4 linked regions of the Arabidopsis thaliana genome follow. The protein of the gene in region 3 interacts with the protein of the main gene of each other region in a pairwise test. Each region holds a gene or a part of one and is shown on either strand. Other genes may lie near its edges.

Evidence for each region.
Region 1: the proteins of TIFY10B (region 3) and TCP3 interact in binary tests that used the Arabidopsis thaliana proteins (3 or more experiments, as listed by UniProt).
Region 2: the proteins of TIFY10B (region 3) and TCP15 interact in binary tests that used the Arabidopsis thaliana proteins (3 or more experiments, as listed by UniProt).
Region 4: the proteins of TIFY10B (region 3) and FRS3 interact in binary tests that used the Arabidopsis thaliana proteins (3 or more experiments, as listed by UniProt).

The regions. Positions count from the first base shown.
Region 1 is NC_003070.9:19,849,240-19,853,629, forward strand, and holds TCP3 (TEOSINTE BRANCHED 1, cycloidea and PCF transcription factor 3), read right to left. Parts: upstream 2,487-4,390; 5' UTR 2,197-2,486; coding exon 1,021-2,196; 3' UTR 963-1,020; exon of another isoform or gene 962-962; intron 869-961; 3' UTR 549-868; downstream 1-548. UniProt on the Arabidopsis thaliana protein: Plays a pivotal role in the control of morphogenesis of shoot organs by negatively regulating the expression of boundary-specific genes such as CUC genes, probably through the induction of miRNA (e.g. miR164). Participates in ovule development.
Region 2 is NC_003070.9:26,214,452-26,218,628, forward strand, and holds TCP15 (TCP family transcription factor), read left to right. Parts: upstream 1-1,557; 5' UTR 1,558-1,997; coding exon 1,998-2,975; 3' UTR 2,976-3,620; downstream 3,621-4,177. UniProt on the Arabidopsis thaliana protein: Transcription factor involved the regulation of plant development. Together with TCP14, modulates plant stature by promoting cell division in young internodes. Represses cell proliferation in developing leaf blade and specific floral tissues.
Region 3 is NC_003070.9:28,148,054-28,152,060, forward strand, and holds TIFY10B (TIFY domain/Divergent CCT motif family protein), read right to left. Parts: upstream 2,394-4,007; 5' UTR 2,206-2,393; coding exon 2,058-2,205; intron 1,739-2,057; coding exon 1,561-1,738; intron 1,469-1,560; coding exon 1,191-1,468; intron 1,104-1,190; coding exon 1,046-1,103; coding exon of another isoform or gene 1,042-1,045; exon of another isoform or gene 954-1,041; coding exon 866-953; 3' UTR 522-865; downstream 1-521. UniProt on the Arabidopsis thaliana protein: Repressor of jasmonate responses. Jasmonoyl-isoleucine (JA-Ile) specifically promotes COI1-TIFY10B/JAZ2 interaction. Activated by MYC2, MYC3 and MYC4 transcription factors.
Region 4 is NC_003071.7:11,576,125-11,582,473, forward strand, and holds FRS3 (FAR1-related sequence 3), read right to left. Parts: upstream 4,694-6,349; 5' UTR 4,282-4,693; coding exon 2,128-4,281; intron 2,046-2,127; coding exon 1,956-2,045; intron 1,687-1,955; coding exon 1,537-1,686; intron 1,198-1,536; coding exon 1,081-1,197; intron 890-1,080; coding exon 845-889; 3' UTR 544-844; downstream 1-543. Other genes in the region: SE (C2H2 zinc-finger protein SERRATE (SE)), read left to right, coding at 1-80, 173-233; TIL2 (DNA polymerase epsilon catalytic subunit), read left to right, coding at 5,099-5,233, 5,333-5,398, 5,473-5,532, 5,605-5,700, 6,102-6,262.

The sequences.
Region 1 (4,390 bases), 8.3 Mb from region 3:
ACATCACACTCAAGTTCGGTGGATCTCCTACACTCTTGTTTAAAGTAGACAGTTATTTGACACTAGACATCAAATTCTCTTTTGCTCCTTTTTCATAAAATCTTGAAATCTAGTATTGAGGAAGATTCTATGAAAAGAAGTCAAAAACCATTTCTCTGATATTTATATAGGGATCCGTGGATCATGGGCCAAAACTCTTACTAAGTATCAGAGCTTGCATCCACTAAACAAATTTTAAAAGAAACCCATAATTCTAAACTCTAAACTCCAAAAGAAGCAACACATGCAAACCCTGTCTATGGAAAGTGACTCTTCATCTATGGGGCCAAAAGAAGAGACTAAGAAACACAAGAGAAATGATTGTTTCAAATTCCATTTGCTAGTCAAAAGAAAGTTTATAACCACAGAGATTGGGAAGATAATACTTCTAATAAACGCTAAACCAAACAATATGATGATTGATGTAGATGGATAGAGCACTGTTCCTCTTTGGGATTGGCAAACAAAATGAGATATTTCTTGGGGAAAGCATTAAACCCACATGGAATAAAGGGCAAACAAAAGACTTTAGCTTCAAGTGGGGTTAAAGGTTTCCAACACAAGAACATAAATAAAGGACAAGTAATTGTAGAACAAGTTACAACAAACAAGATGTGAGCTCATGTAGCTAGAGCTAAACATTGTAAAACAGAATTGAACTTACAGAACGTTCTCTAATTGATACAAGATGAATTCAAATTAACCAAGGCCTAGGCTTTTAAAGACTTAAGAAGAACCTGAAACTGTTGATCAGATTTATAGGCCATTTGGATATTCGAAACACACAACAACGAAAACCGCCTTCACTATTCCACGCATTCGAAGCGCCCTGAAACGTTAAAAACAATGTAAGTTATCAATTTGATGAATGGTTAAAAGACAAGACTTTCACAAATGGGTGTTGTTTTCGAAAAACTTCAAACCTGGAATATGAAAAGAAACCTGTTGTGTTGCACAATCTTATGTGTTTTTGGAACTTGTTTAATGGCGAGAATCGGATGAAGCAGAGGACGGCTTGTTGTCGCCGCCGTGCTCCTCTTGTTCGCCTTGAAACCGTGCTGGTATACGAAAACCGGAGAATTCACCACTTGAAGCAAATGCAATGCCTGGAATAGCAGATTGGTGAATCCCGGGAGGGATATGGTAGGGATGATGATGGTGGAGATCGTCAGTGGTCATGGACTGCTGATGATGATGATGATGATGGTGAGGATCAAACCAAGCACGAATCATAGGTGTGTTAATGGACTGAAGGGGACCCCTCTGTGATAAAAGCTGACTTTGGCTATAAACTGGATGCAACGACGACGGAGAAGCAAACACAAATCCTCCGGTACTTCCGGCGGATTCAGCTGCTCCGACGTTGTTCCATGACACTAGTCTCTGTATCTTTCCAAATTCCGGTGACTGATGACTCTGTTCCCAGCTTGCCGTCGATGAGTCAAACGCTAACTGATTATTGCTCTGGCCGGAGAACAGAGCAGGTTCTGTTTGATTAGGAAAAGGTGGACCATTTTGGAAAGATTGAAGCGAGAGACGAAGAAGATCTTGGTTCTGTGTATTGCCTCGTGACGGTGGCTGATGATGATAGCTCTGTTGCGTTGAAGCTACCGGAAAAAACGACTTTATAGTGTCAGCTATCGAATCAGAATCCATTGACGCCGGAAGAAAACTCGATTCGTTATCTTCTTCTTCTCCGATTCGATGATGCTCTGTTTCTTCCGGTTGTGGCGGTGGCGGAGAAATTAAAGTTTTGGTTTTTCTGGGTTTAGCGTTAGCAGCAGCGGCGGCGTGTTGACGAAGAGTATCGGCGGGGTTCCAAGGAGGAAGCTGAGCAAGATCATCAATGGCGGATTTAGCTTTAGTAATAAGCCAATCAACAGCTTTACTTGGTCGATCAAAACCAAGTCTATCTTGAACATCGTAGAATTGAATCGCCGTCGGAGCTGAGAGTCTCACGCGCCGGTCACGTGGTCCTTTCGCTGTACATACTTTACTATGTCTGTCTTTTCTTCCTGTTGACCGAACAATGTGACCTCCTTGTACCTCCACAATCTCGCCGCAACCACCACCGTTCTCCGTCGCTGATTGGTGGTGTCTCATCTCTAGAAGAGGCGGCGACGGAGAATCTAAGAAATGGTCGTTATCTGGTGCCATTGATGAAGCATATTGTGGAAATTCAAGGTCGTTGATGGTGGTGGTGGTTGGATTATGACGGCGGCGGCGACGGCGGTCGTTAACCGCCGAGGAATCCAGAGTCGTTCGATTTATTTAATTCAACATTTTGCCTCTCCTCCAAATCCCAAACCCTAAACACGCCAACAAATCAAAGATGAAGAAGAAGAAGAAGAAGAAGACGTAATTGAATTTTGCAGACTAACCCATGACTAAATTTCTCTTCTTTTGTCTAAAGATTGTTTCTTTTTTAGAATTTGTCTCTGTTTCTGAGAATTCAAGAAGCAAAAACAGAGGAAGCAAGAAGAGAGAGAAGAGATAGAGAGATGTGGAATTGACTAAACGAGAATCCAGGAAAGCTCTTTTTAATTTTTTGTTTCTGGCCGGAAAATTTACAGTAACGGTAAAAAAAGGAAGAGATTTTGGGGTTTGGGGAAGAGAGGGAAATGGTAATGGAAGGAGTGTGTTTGGTCATAAAAAGAGCTCTCTGATACTCATCATCATCACTTGTGCTTTTATTTCATTTTTAAAGTGTTTTCTTATTTTATATTATATATTTTATGGTTTTTCTAAATGAAAAACAAAAAGCTTTTGTCCGATTCATCATGTGGAAATATTTTACATGACATTTCGAATTGTATTAGCTATATACATTACAATGGATATATTTTGGTAGAGGTTACTGTAAGAATATCAACACATATACATAGTCCTCTTAGGTTTGGTTCTGACTACCACTATTTTTTTTTGTTAAAGATGATAGAAACTATAAGCACTAATAAACCCAAATTTTACCAAGTCAAAGATTGTTCTGTACTGTGTTAGAAAATATTAATACAGAACTTTTGAGGTAGTAAAGGTTTTGGGTTGTTGGAAAAAAAGACAATACAAGAAGATTTCTTTTATAATAAAAACTAAAAAGTAAAGCTTTTAGATCTGTTGGAGAGTTGGAGACACTAATAATTGGGCGGTATAAACTAATATTGATGGTATTATTTTAAACAAATAAAGTATTATTTTCATCGAATCAAATTGTATTGGTTTTAGAGGTTACACCCTGTAAAATGCATCACCAGTATCCGTAGGATTCGACAGTATCCCTATAATCAACCATTGTCTATGCTCCTTTCCACTATCTGTTCTCGAACTCCACTGTTCGTCAATCCCACTTTTAATTAACCAAACGTAGTAAAGTTTCAGATGGAAAACGAAAATAATAGAGATACATACTTGTACATAGTTTTAGTTTAAAATTAACTTGAATTTCCTTTAAACAAAGATAAAAATGTGTATATATACGTAATTTGGTAACTCAATCAGTTTTTTTTTTCTTTTTTGTTAACAAGGAAATCCCGAGCATTTGACATACTAATACAAGTATGGTATGTGATTAAATATGAACATTTTAGGTGTGATTCATGTAGAGATTTCAAGAGAGATATAAGAAGAAATATGTGATTGTAGATAGGAGATTTATGTTTTTTGTAAGTGCGTTTCCTACTCATCGAGCCAATCTGCATTGAATCCATAATTTTTTCTTTTACCTTCCCAAGAGAAGAAATTATCAAAACATCGTTCTACGACATGCAACATCAAATTTAAAGGCACGAAATATCGCACGGTTCACTGGTTTAGGACACAATCAATTATTGTTTTCCATTTTTTTGTCATTACCACAAATTCTCTTTCTAACTACTTCTCCATTATACACACCGACCATGCATGTACTGTATTTTTAATTAAATACCCGTAGTCATACGAACTTTTCTGATATATAATGTATTTGGTACCATATTCTTGATCATCAAATAATGACAATGCACACATAAAAAGATGACGTATCGATATGTAAGGCAAAGATGGAATCAAATTTCAAATAAATGTTTCCCATTGCACCTACTCAACCAAGTGTAGTCTAAATAAATTTACGAATATACCCTATAGGCTTTTAGTGTTTTTCGATCGCATGTGTGTCAGTAAGTACACTCCCCATCACCCTCATAGTCATTTCCTCTTATCTCTCTCTCTTAAGTTATTTTCCCCAATATTTATTCCTTTCATTTATTTTTGTCAACTTGTTTTTCCGATAAAGAAATAAACACAATTTTTTCTGTCAATTTCCTAGTTTTATTTCGTTTATTTCCATTGTCTTATTTTTTTCCGTAATAAAAGAAAT
Region 2 (4,177 bases), 1.9 Mb from region 3:
ATTCGTTTTCTTTTCTGTTTAGTCTTTGATATATAGTTTTCTTGATATTTTGATTGGTTTACTAATTACTACAAGCAGGCCGATACTTTTAGTTATTTATATTTTACGAGGGAAAATTATGGTCAATGAACATATTCTAGTTAAAACATAAAAAGATATCACATATATAAGTAATTAAAATATAAAATTTTGTCATTTGTAAATATGTTTGGGCGAAAATGTTTGGACATCCCATAGGTTTTATGTGGCTATGCGTAAAGTTTCTAATAGTTAGACTAATCAACGTTCCTAAGAGATCATCAGAACTAGTTACACCTTACACGTAACGTTAATGATTCGTCTAAACTAAGAGACGATAATTAGCCACAATAGAAAATACTATATTTTGATTTTTGAGAAGTTTTATCTTCATAAAGCTTAGACATTTGAAAAAGAATAGTAAGATTATAACAAATATATTTTACAATTTTCAATATATACTAAGAAAGATGAATTTGCCTAAACTCAAAATTAATATGTGTAAGAATTTTTATAATTGGTTTTCTCCATTTCTTTTAACAAAATCATATGTATATTCAAATATACTACCTGGCAATTATTATATGCATGCTTATGTTGGTTTATGTAATAACTTGGATTTATTTTGTTACACTCAATTTCTATAAAACACAAATTTGAGATTTTTAAAAAATATTTATTTAAAATATCTTCATAATAATTCGAATTTACTTTTATATTATTTTTTTCTTTTGTATTCTCTAATTCAATTATATTTTTAACGTTACCATATATATATATATATATATATATATATATATATTACGCTGGTCCTAATTAGTAGTATAATCTATGTAACACCGTATATTTTGATTCTTTGAACAGCTTATATGAATAATCATCACATAAGAAGGAGCCTTCTTCATCACTATTCACTACATATAAAAATTCGTTTCAGAAAAAAAAGATCAATGTTCTGTCCACATCAGAGTATCAAAATAATTTTCTAAATTTAGTGCTACATCTTTTAACGACAATTGTATGTCAATGAGATAACTCCAATGGTGGAAACAAAAGAGAAGCATTACAAATTTGCTTTTATATATCTATAAAGCACTGTAACTATGGTTTTATAAATAATAATATCAAACTGGTAACTCATTCAAGAGTCACAGAGGAGAAAAAACAATCCATCTGTTTCATAAAAAAAGCAGTTGGATTCTATTATATCATGTGGATCTCGTGAACTACCATAGAGCCATGGATTAATCACTGTCATTCTGTCAATAATAATTCTATCTATTTATTATTCTGTTGTCACATATGTACAAAATATATGTAAACTTCTCAGTTCTGTCTGAATCGCTGAAATTTTCGCTAAATGTGCAATTAATTTCCCGATCGCTTGAAGTTAACAGTTACGACGAGAAACTGACGTCACTTTTTAATTATTGTAAAGAATGAAAAAGAGTGTTCGTATAGGGTAATTGTATTATTGTAAAAAACTATGTATCCAAACACAATAAATACACGAACAACATTTATTTTCACTCACTTTGATCACTGTACGTAATAAGGAAAAACATTTTATTTGAATGAATATTTGTACAGATTGGAGAACCACGTAAGCCCATCTCTTTTATTTCCAAAAATAACGAAAAATTCTCAAAGGGAATAGTTTATAATGTAAATAAAATTCCAAAAATAAAACACAAAAGATATAAAGCAGCAAGAGAAAAAAAAAGTCCATGCTTTCATATTCATTGCTTTAATCTCTCTCTCTCTCTCAGACATAGACACAGCTAAGCTTCCCATCTGAAAGGAGTTTCATGTCCTAAGGACCATATTATAACCTCTCTATCTCTCTCTAAGTATCAGCAAAAAAACAGAGATTTATAGAGAGAGAAAAAAACTATGGCTCACATAAAGATCTAACAGAGACAGTAGTATAGTCCCACTTCCCCACCACCAAAGCTTCGATCATCATCATCATCATCATCATGGATCCGGATCCGGATCATAACCATCGACCCAACTTCCCTCTCCAGCTTCTTGATTCTTCTACCTCCTCCTCTTCCACTTCCTTAGCCATCATCTCTACTACTTCCGAACCTAACTCCGAACCTAAGAAGCCTCCTCCTAAACGAACCTCTACTAAAGACCGACACACCAAAGTCGAAGGCCGAGGCCGTCGGATCCGTATGCCTGCCATGTGTGCTGCACGTGTCTTTCAGCTCACACGTGAGCTTGGTCACAAATCCGACGGTGAAACTATTGAGTGGCTACTCCAACAAGCAGAACCAGCGGTTATAGCCGCTACAGGGACTGGAACCATTCCGGCTAACTTCACTTCTTTAAACATCTCACTTCGTAGCTCAAGATCTTCTCTCTCTGCTGCTCATCTTCGTACAACTCCTAGTAGCTATTACTTTCATTCACCACATCAGTCCATGACTCATCATCTTCAACATCAGCATCAGGTTCGTCCCAAGAACGAGTCACATTCTTCGTCTTCTTCTTCTTCACAGCTTTTAGATCACAACCAAATGGGTAACTATCTAGTACAATCAACTGCTGGATCTTTACCTACGAGTCAGAGTCCTGCAACGGCACCGTTTTGGAGTAGTGGTGACAACACACAGAATCTTTGGGCTTTTAATATTAATCCTCATCATTCCGGTGTTGTCGCCGGAGATGTTTACAACCCCAACAGTGGTGGTAGTGGCGGCGGTAGTGGAGTTCATTTGATGAATTTTGCAGCTCCTATTGCTTTGTTTTCTGGACAGCCTTTGGCTTCTGGTTATGGAGGAGGAGGAGGTGGCGGTGGAGAACATAGCCATTATGGAGTTTTAGCGGCGTTGAATGCTGCTTACCGACCGGTGGCGGAGACGGGGAACCATAACAACAACCAGCAAAACCGTGACGGAGATCATCATCACAACCATCAAGAAGATGGAAGCACCAGTCATCATTCCTAGGCAAACATACACAAACAAATATATTCTGTGAGATTTATTTTTCTTTTTTTGTCCTTTCGTTTGTTTGTTTGTTCTTAACAAGCGTGTTTTTTTTGCATTGCTTCTTTTTCATATATTTTTATTTATTTCTAAATTCTAATATTCTACGGATTTCATCTTGTTTATTTTTCTGATTAATGTATTGAGTAAGTAATTAAGAACCTGATAATCGATATGTTTTAGTTTGTGGTTTTTGCATGCAAGGCTTTGGTTTTATTATTCTAGAGATTTTTGCTTGAAGTAGTTGTCTTGTGAAATGTTTTCCTCATTACTATTGAGTGTGAGAGTTTTCTAATACTTGATTAGGGTTTTTGAACAATTTTTATATATGTATATTAATTCAGTACGGATTATCAATAAATTATTTCGCATGCCAAATTATTATCTTCCACTTCGTTCATGGTTACATTGTCTCGAAGAAGCTACATCTTATGCATTGTGAGCAATTATTCAGGTTCTAGCTATCTCTTTTAATATGTTAATTTCTTTGCATGATTAACATCTTACTCCTGACTGGTCTATTGGTGACTATGCTAAGATAATGTAGATATATATAGTAACAAAATCATATAGGTCAAAGCATTAAGTGTGATTGTTTTGGTTAATTATAAGTGTGTTGACGAGGGGATGCATTGTAGATATGATGCCATATTAATGCCAGTAGGTTTATGCGCATGGTGGTTTGGATACGTTCAATTTATAGCCGTTGCAAAAATTGAAGGCATTTAATTTTGCTAATGATATTACCAAAATTATTTGATTATGAATCAAAAGATACAAGGAGAATTATCAAAAAAAAAATATATAGGTCCATTATCCGTATAAGGTAGCTAAGAACTTAATTAGTCTGGTGCTATGTTTGAAGACTCACGTACGATTTACAATCTCTGGATCTATGAAACTCATCACCAAGCAGGAACCTGTATTTATACGTCAATATTTGTGAATTTTCGGATACCCAAAAAATACCAAGAATATATATTTCATTTTCTGCTGAAAATCAGAGAAAAATGTGTTTTAAAAACAATGTCTATAAACAAATTTATAGATTGAAGTTAGAACTAAAAACTTTTGATGGTTATAGATTTCAGCTTGATCATTTATTTCTGAAGTGTTTTCGTTGGATGAAACATAGATTATATATGTCTATAATTAATTGAGAC
Region 3 (4,007 bases):
CTTATTAATCATAACGAATTTCGGACCAGTCTTTGGACCAAATTTACGTTTTGTTAGTTGGATGATCATTGTTCAAGACCGAACAAATCATTGTTCAAGACCGAACGAAAAAAAGTTATCGTGGGTCAGAATTCCCGTGGCCTACCAAGCCTGGTCTGATCTACTCCACTTATTGGATATTTATGAAGCTCTTTTTATTATGGACTTCGGATATTTTACAAAGTTATAACTAGTATTTTGGGAAAAACAAAATTGTAACTGGCTTGGTATTTTAACCAAAAATAGTCTACATAGTTTGTGCCATGTATTTAACAACAAAACGAAAATGCTAATACTATAATGGATAGATAGGTTAAAACGTATTTTGAACAATAGCAGACTTGTTAAAGAAAATCTTTCACACGACAATACTTGATAGAAAATCATCATTTTTTAGACATTTCTTTATTTTCGAGAATGCTTTAAGTATTTCTGTTCCTTAACTGTAAGCTTCAGCTCTCAATAAGTGACGAACAAACAATCGGATTAAATAAACTTGGATTATATTAATGGCCATCAACACAAAAACACAAGTGATGTTTCTTACAAAAGTTGCAAGCTAATGTTGAGATCGGCAGAGGAAAGGGTTATACACACTGGCTAAAACTTAAACCCCAGAAGCAAACATTGAACACTATTGATATTGATTTCATACAAATATAATGAGTTTTCGGGGGAGTTAAACAAACAAAACTACTAGGGGTGAAATTAATCTATAGAAAAAATGAACAGAGGAGCAGCTTGATATTTGTAACGATGGAGCATCAGAAGAATCTTACAAGAAGGTCTCTCAAGTTGTGCCTTCTGGGTCGGACAGGCTCGAAGTTTACCGTGAACTGAGCCAAGCTGGGTTAGTAGGCTTGGAAGACGCTTCAGCTGAACCGTCTATTTGGTATGGTGCCTTTGATGTGATCCTGTTAAAGGTTTACGAGTAGGATATTGAGAAATTCGCTTAACAAGAACTTATGGAATAACAAGATATTATGTTTTCATTAAAATGCATTACCTATCCTTCCTCTTCTCAAGGAACCGATGAAGTGAAGCTCTTCTTGCAATCGGGAGTTCTACAAATCAAAAAGAGAGAAAGTTAGAGAAATAGGACTAAGCCAAGCTCAGAGATGGTTGAACCAAAAGAGGCTGAGATCAATTACCGCAGGCTAAAGAGGCCGGGTTAGGCTGAATTGGCTCTTGTGCTGCGGTTTTTGCAGGACTACAAACAGGATTTGGGCTAGAAGCAATCTCTTTTTGAGAATAAGCACTATGGTTATTGTTTACTTCAGCTGTGAAACATGTGAAGCTTTTGGCACTTCCTTTGTTAGCCAAATCAATGACTTCTTTAGCTTTCTCAGCAGAAAAATCATCAAACACCATAACTCGACCACCGTAGAATATAGTCAACGGAGCAGATTGAGACTCTGGCTTCACAGATCTGTTCAAAATCACACAAAAATTAGTTAAACTGATGAAACATAGCTTACTATATGAGACGATTCTTTTCACTATATACATATAAACACATACTTAGTAGTCTCTTTGATCATCTGTACATCTTCTTTGGTCCCAGAGGAAGAGGAAGAAGAAAAGCTTGATTGTCTCGGAAACATAGTCTTCGGTTTAATGTCTTCTTGACCAGCAGAAGAATCCATTCCTGAAGCTTCACAAGGGAACAGATTCATCATTGTAGGCTGACGTGAACCTCCTGCGAAAATTGATCCAAAAGTAAAGATTATTATCATTCACCAATCTCTCAAACAACTGCAAAACAAAATCTACTTAATGACTAAACCAGGCCTATGGCTTTAGAGGATTATGCTTAAACCAAACACAGAACCATCTCCACAAATTCATACACATACATACATATATAGAAATTGATTCAAAATCCATTAATCATCGATTCTCTACAACGATTCAATTTCCAGACAACATGTAATCGATTCATAATTCGTAATTCGCAACAGGAAACTCAAAATTCGCAGAAACGAAATGAACAGATCTAAAAGAGAAAGGTTGATTACCATTAACGTCGGGCTTGCATGTCATCCCTAAGCTCAGATCTCCAAAACTACCCTTCTCCTTCAGGTAACGACTCAATCGAGTACATGTTTGTGAAAAGCTCGGTTTACGACCAGAGAAGTCCCAACACTCGGCAGAAAAACTCGACATCGTTGAAACCGAAATTGAAATCGTTTCGATTGAGAAATTGGAGCAAAAGGATCTTCCTTCCTGAGTTGTTGAATTTTCTCGAATCTTATAAAAAAACTTAGGGTTCTTGTTTATCTTTCTCTGCCAAGTGCGTTTTGTCACGAGGAAGAAATGGAGGACCTCTTTATTACTTTTTTTTCGCTGGTTGCAGATACGGAAATTAGTAAAATATACTCTTATAGTATTAATTAACATAGAGACATTTAAAACACGTGTTTTAATTTAATGTTTTAACGGCAGACCACTGTTTCAGATCACCACCGTCACCCACGTCCCCACGCTTCACACTTGAAATAACCATTTCACCCTCTTACTACTCCTGTTTTTACCATTTTACCCTTACAAGATGTTCAAATAAAATAAAAAATTATGAAAACGTAAAATCCTAAAATTAATTAGTTCAAACAAATCAATGTTCAGATGAAATTTGATTATGATAGTCTTTCAGTTATACCATTTAGTTGGTTCATATATCCTTTTTTTTAAGATGAATCTCTTGGCATTAATTTATGTATTTTTAGCACTATTAATTAGTCTACTATTTTAATCTCATAGACCGGCGTGATATTTTAGCACTCAAAGAGAATTAACGGTATGATTTGGGGGAAAAAAGAGGATTAACGGCGTTAGATAGAGGGAACACGGTGTGGGTCTTACATAACCAAAACTCCACCACCAATGCAAATTTGATCCATAAATCACGTTTTGTATTTTCCCTTTTATTAATTTTTTTTTAGTGTTTTATTTATGACAACAGTAATAAATAATTACAAAAAGCGGGAAGAGCACGTCTCCTCCATGAATCGCGACCTTACACGTGTCTAACTTAACTGCCCACATTTGAGAGAATTTTTCTTGTTGGTGTCGTAGTCAGAGTAATCACCTGTTACGCGGCTTATATAGCAGCTGTGTTCTCCTACGCACAATAGCCGTTGATCCTATCACTCTGTCTTTTATTCTCTTGTTATTATCCCATGCGTTTGTTAGGAACACACAAATAAGTTTGATTTTCTTTTATAACGTAACGTCCAACTTGTTATTTTATTGACTTGGATTGTAGTAATTGCTAACTCATTACAGGTACATCGAGATAACGTAAGGTTCATAGAGTGGCTCGTGAGAAAATAAGGATGATTGGTTAATTTGGTTTTTAACTGTTTTATAAACATCTTCACAAAATTTTATACATCACAAACATATCCATAAGAAACAAAATCAGAAGAAGCTGCAGGTACATACAATTACAAGGAAGAGGGGTCACAAGAAGAACCCAGAGCGCATAAAGACATCAAAGTCTGGATATTATTTAGAGTATGCAACCAAAAAGAAGAAGGCAAGTGGGGTGGTCACAAAAATGCAAGATAGAGGTCACAAGAAGAATAGAAGAACATAAGCTAATTAAGGAATAGTACTCTATATTCCTGTTTTTACTGTAGAAACTTTATCTACTTATGGCTCTCTTATACAAGGCTGATTGATACCCTTTTAGCCATGTTTTTATACTTGCTCTTGGTTTTCACAGCTGATTCATTCCTCTTCTTTCTTTCACATATTTAACAGAAAATAAGCTTACATATGAAAGTGGTAAAACATTGGGCCCTTGGAATATATTTTTTTAGTTTTTACCTTTCAAAAGATGATTTAGTTACTCTCTATATATGTAATTAACAAAGGGAAAACTGTCAAGAGCTACTAAATTTAAAATTGAGAATTGATTTGGCATTTTTTGAGATTTCATGTTAAACAATAGAAATGTAAAGACT
Region 4 (6,349 bases), on a different chromosome or scaffold from region 3:
TTTGAAGGTAGCGGGAGAGGTGGACCTGCCCCTTTTCTGTTGTCTCCGGCCTTTAGACAAGATCCTAGACGGCTGCGCAGGTAACGTAGTTCACTCTGTGCTATGAGTCCATTACCCTATGATCAAGAGTGCAGTGTCTCTAAGGTACTAATGTATGAGAAATTTGGTGCAGCTACCAAGACCTAGATGCTCCAGAGGAAGAAGTGACCGTTATTGATTACAGGAGCTTGTAGACAAGACAGGGCTAGAGAGATCCCGAGTTTACTGGTTCGGGTTGGGTTAAAGGGCATCAGTATTAGAAGGCAAAGCTAGCAGATTGTGGCATTTTCTTACCCTTTTGATGTATTATGTCTTGTTCCTCCCAATTTTCACTCACTAAAGCGTAAAATACGCACTCCATACATTTCCTTATTGTTTTTCAAAATTTTTCATGTGCTTTCTTACTAATTCTGTTCGACGATGATTACATAAATAGCATGAGAATTTCTTGTATTGAATAATGCGTTTTATCCACATTGTTTGTTATCAATACTTAAGTCTCCATGGCAGTCTTAAATCTCCATGGCCATTAAATATAATCTGCAGTCAAACGAATGACTATCCACAAGAATCCAGGTTTTTAGGGTTCAATGTAAATAAGAAGGATATATACACTTCAAAGCCTGGCTCAATGCCTACCAGATTCTACACACTTGCGTAGATGACGTGACACTTACACATGTTACAATTACACATAAGGCATTGTATCGTAAATCTAACAACACTAATCACAGACGAGCTCTAATGAGGTTAACAACCATTTTCCAAAGTTTTCTTTTCCAGAGGTTGTTTCTCTCTCTCAACATCATTTGCGTTGCTTCTTTGCTTGAGATTCTGTTTGTAGCTCTCCCTGCAAATGCAAGATACCGTTTAGATACTCTATAAGACAATACATAGACCAAGTAATAGTTCAGGAACAATTATAGGTCGATATGAACCTAATTGATTGCTGTTACTATTACTAATTCAACTATCATTGGCCTTGTAATTATTTAATAACTACTACTTGGAAAAAGAAAAAGAAAAAGGGAGTGTGCCTACAACGATTGAGAGCTGCTCACGGATATAGGCCATTGATCTCAACATGGCACCTAGTGTATCTCGGGACACCTGAAACTTGACCTCTGATTCTCCTGTTGTTGTCTCGGTATCTTGAAGCTGGAGTAAGGAAAACAAAAGAAGATTTTTTCACACTGTTGAAACCTTCTAGTTCAATTAAGAGTCCCTAATATGGAGTAAAACATTGATTTTGGTAATCAAACATGAAATTTCATATTCAAGTAGTGACGCTAGTATAAATAACTGCAAAACGTATGGCAAGTTAACATGAATGAGAGAATCAGCTTAAACAAGTCAAACAACACAGAAGTTTCACACACTAACGGTAGATGGAATCTATGTTAGAACAAACCAAAGACAATCAATAAATTAAAAGGAGTTTAGTCAAGTCAAGAAGACTACATGAGAAGCTACGAGCCTAGAGTCTAAAAGACATACCTTCAAATTGATGACAGCTACTCTATTGGCTGGAGATGAAAGTTGCTCGCTAATGTAAGCCATGGACCTTAACATGGGTTCAAGTGTGACGCTAGACAGCTGAAATTTGACATCCATGTCTGCTGAGGGAAACTTTCTGTAATCGTGCAACTGAAAACATCATGAAAAATAATCCTCAGTAAAGCGGTCAACTACTATTTTGCAGGAACGAGCAAGACTATTAATGGCAACAACTTTGATTTTCCTACACTATAGCCAGTAACTTTTCCGAAAAGGCGAATGTCAATTGTTCAAATCTTCAAGATCATTATTCTTACAAATCTAATCTCTTTTAGATAAAGCATCCCATCAGACCAACTTTCAGTAAAAGTTACTGCAAAACCCTACAGAAAAGATTTACTGGTTCATATAATGCACACCTTTAAATTGATAACTGCAACTCTACCACCCGGCATTGTATTTTTACTCTCCATCCCCCAAGTCAATGACTTAAGACAAGGAAGAGCCACCTGTAAGACAAAGTAAATCAAGTTACTGACCAACACCAATAGAATCAAAGAAATAAGTCTGTGAAAGGTTTCCTCTGGGTACCATATTCTCAGGAGCAGTATCATCTCGGTGAAGTGACACTGGTGCCATACGCGGCAGATTCAGATCAGAAACAGATTGAGCTCTGGCCCCACCATCGTTAAGGTTAAATCTGCGTATCATTTCATCCTGGCGCGGCCACAGCAAAGGGGTTGTGTCAGCAGCTGATAGAGAGGTCTTGTCACCACTACCAATTCCACCACCATGTGAGCTAGGAGGCGCAGCTCTACCTATCCTTTTCCTGACAACTGAAACCTTCTTTCCACCTTCTCTGAGTTGCCCTAAAGCAATATTATAAGCTTCAGCTGTAATTGCCCCTTCCTCAGCATACTTGATGGCTTCGCGACATAAATGATTATAGCGGTGTATCGAGCTATCATGCCCATTTTCACTGACATGCTCATCTAACTCTACCATGCTCTTGGCATTTCTTGTCCACCGTCTCAAAATATAATGTGGTGGCAAAGTGAGTATATTAGTGACAGTAAACACCGTCAAAACATGTCGGCAGAGTATGCCGGAGTGCTCAAACATTTGACAGCTGCAGTTTGCTCTCATTTCAGGGTAGCAAAACGTTACTATATAAGCTTTGTTGTCATTTTCAAAATTTGCAACCCTAAATGTGCTGGTAGTACCATCATCTTCAATTCTGTTTGCCGTGTGAGCGAATGTCTCTACCAACTCTTCCTGGAACTTTCCAAATATTTTCCTTGTAAAGAGATTTGCAGCCTGATTCTCCATGGGTGATGGCGTCTTCAAGACTGGAGGTGTGTTGACAGTGTCAAGATCTGCTTCAATCTCCATCTCGAACCAGCTCTCCATAGCCCTTTCGTACAGCCTAAAGAACATCGGAAGGGTTGTCTGCTGATTCACATATCCATCGAAAAAGGAACCCGAATAACCTTGGCTAGGAAACACTGCAGCAAAAAACGAATCCCGGAAATAAACAGGTACCCACTGAGCTCGAGCATTATATAAAGAATTAAGCCATTCATGTCTTCCTAAGTCATATTTGTCAATGACAGAACTCCAGGACGATTCAAACTCCTCAATCGTTTCAGTAAAGTTGATACAATTATATAGCTCCACCTGAAAACTAGGATACGCAAGACACACATGAGCCAGCTTTTCCTGACCTTCTCTTAGCACATCCCACTTATTAATACAGTGACGAGCACCTGGAAATACCTGACCAGCAGCAATCTGTATGGCTCTATCTTGATCAGTCACCAAAGAAACCGGCGGTTGATCTCTCATTGCTGTTAGAAAAGTCTTGAACAGCCAGATAAATGAAGTGTCTGACTCGTCCAAAATAAGTGCACAGCCAAATAAGATAGCCTGACCATGATGATTCACACCAGTAAATGGCGCAAAAGGAACACGAAACTGATTGCACCTGTACCTCGTATCTAAGGTAACCGTGTCACCAAAATGAGTATAAGCAACCCTAGATCTCGAATCAGCCCAAAACACATTTGACATCTGATTATCTTCATCAAGCTGAACCGCATAGAAAAAGCCAGGATTCTCTGCCTGCATCCTCTTAAAATACTCCAACAGATTATGTGCATCCCGTCCAATCGTTCTCTTCGTGTTTGTAGCCATAGACGCATTTCTAGCTCCTCTGCTATTAGCATCCATAGAAACATACATCATACCACTAGGCACATTAACCCCTTCTTGATAACTAGATTTCTCCGAGTTAGCAAAATGCCTACGAGGACGAAGACAATGAAGCATATTAGAACTTGCTAATCCATGAGTATGCTCTTTAACAAACTTTGTAACAACCCATTTCTCATGACCTTGCAACTCTATCCTAACCATTGCATCACAACTCTCAGAAAGCCTTCTCTTTGACCTTTTACTACTACTACTACACACAAATTCTCGAACACTAACAGACCCATCAGTTCTAGGAAGAAGCTTAGAAGTAAAACCAAGCTGCCTCGAGTACTCATCATAGAAAGATTTAGCTTCTTTTTCTGAATTAAACTCCATACCAACACATGGCTCTGCAATTCCAATCTCATCTTGCACCCCTAACGAGTTATCCATGTTGTTCTGTCCACTGCAATCACTAGGTTCAACATCTCCTTCATCTCCTATCTCATGATTCCCCATTGACACATTCTCTTCCACCAAATGAACATCCATAACCTTCACTTAGTAGAGAAGTTCTAATTTCACACAAATGTTTCTCATCTTCATAGTCTACAAAAAAGTACTATTAGTGTTTGGAGATCTTCTTCCGAACATATAAATATGAGGACTTTTTGCATCTCTCACTCTCCGATTGTTTGTTGAGAGAGAGAGAAACCCAGAAAGAGGAGAAAGCAAAAGAGAGAAAGAGGAGCTTACGTCAGTCAGTGATGCGAAGAACTCAGAACTCAGAAGAATCGAAAGTCGTGAAATTAGGGAGAAGGGCAACAACAATTGGGGAAAATTGAGAAGAAGCTATGGCAGCTATTTCGTTTTCAGATTCGACCGGAGGAAATTAAACTCCTGCTTCTTCTCAGTCGTTCGCGAGGAAGAAGAGATTCAAGCACGAAACCGACGTCGTTTCGTGCTTTTGTTGGTTTTTTTTTTTCAATTTAAATAGCGAGACCTCGTTTTAATCTAAACCCAACAACAGAAAGCCCTCATAAAAAGTGAGGCCTCATTTGAACCGAACCCAACAACCAGGAAAGCCCTTGATACAAGAGACAACGCGCGCGAAAGCATTTCATCTTCTTCATCTGTCTTTTTTAGTTGAGCCCTAATTCATTTTCGGATGACAACTTCATTTCCTTGTATTGTCGTCATAAGAATCTCAGGTTCTAGATGATTCTCTCTTCTCTTATTTGATCTGGTTCCATCTCTTCACCGTACCAGTGTCAATCACGAATCCCTTTGTTTTGAACCCTAATTTATTTAATACGCAACACAAGCAATCAATACAAGAGTCTCTTAGCATCATCGGCGTGGGCCAAATATGAGCGGAAGGAGATGTGATCGGAGGTTGAATGTGCAGAAAGTTTCAGCGGCAGATGAACTCGAAACTAAACTTGGATTTGGGCTTTTCTCCCAAGGGGAAACGCGGCTCGGGTGGCTACTCACGTTTGCATCAGTAAGTCACGTTTTGTGACTTCCCTAGTAGTTAGTTCTCTGAATACTGAAAACTTCTAAGTACACTCACTGATTGGTTATTATACTACGTTGTTGGCAGTCATCTTGGGAAGATGCCGATACTGGGAAAACCTTTAGTTGTGTGGACCTTTTCTTTGTCACTCAGGTCAGCTGTGGTCATTGCTACTATATTAGCTTCTTTCTTCGTATCAGTTGCTCAACCCTTTTTGTTTCTTTCAGGACGGCTCTTCTTTTAAGACTAAGTACAAGTTCCGCCCTTACTTGTATGCCGCCACCAAAGTATATATGTTCTCTCTGTACTCGAGTGTTTTCTTCCTATATGTCAACTAAACTGCAATGCCCTTTTTACAGGACAATATGGAACTGGAAGTTGAAGCCTACTTGAGACGCCGATATGAAAGACAAGTTGCTGATATTCAGATTGTTCACAAAGAAGATCTTTATCTTGTAAGTCACTAAAGCATAACTCCTTTTACGCAGTTTGCAACTACCTGTTGATTACTCGTTTCTTTCTCTCTATATAGAGGACTCATGTCAATTACATTTGCTACAACTTTTAGTTATTTTCCTCTTCTTGCAACTTCAAATTGAGCAGCTCTAGTAATAAGTCCAAAACTGATCTTGCTTCCATGTGCTCAAATCATCTATCTAGCCTGCCAAAAACGTTCTTGTAACTCAAAAAACGTTTGCTAGTAAATGTTTAAGTGTTTAATGCTTCTTCTTTAGTGGCAACATTATGCAAGATATGAACGTTTTCAGTACCTCTTGTTTGGTTGTCACTTTTGCTGACCTTTTCTTTGACCTACCATACCAATTTGAGTTTCTTGATTTCTTATGTTCATGAGCAGAAAAATCATCTATCTGGCCTGCAAAAAAAATATCTCAAAGTATCATTTGACACTGTGCAACAATTGGTGGAAGTAAAGAGGGATCTGTTGCATATTGTCGAACGAAACCTCGCAAAATTTAATGCACTTGAAGCTTACGAATCCATCTTGTCTGGAAAACGGTAAGGCAATGTATTTTTGTTCTTATAAATTTCCAGAGTTCTTACAAATTTATCCCTTAAAACTATGTTGTTCCTTAGTTATAATTT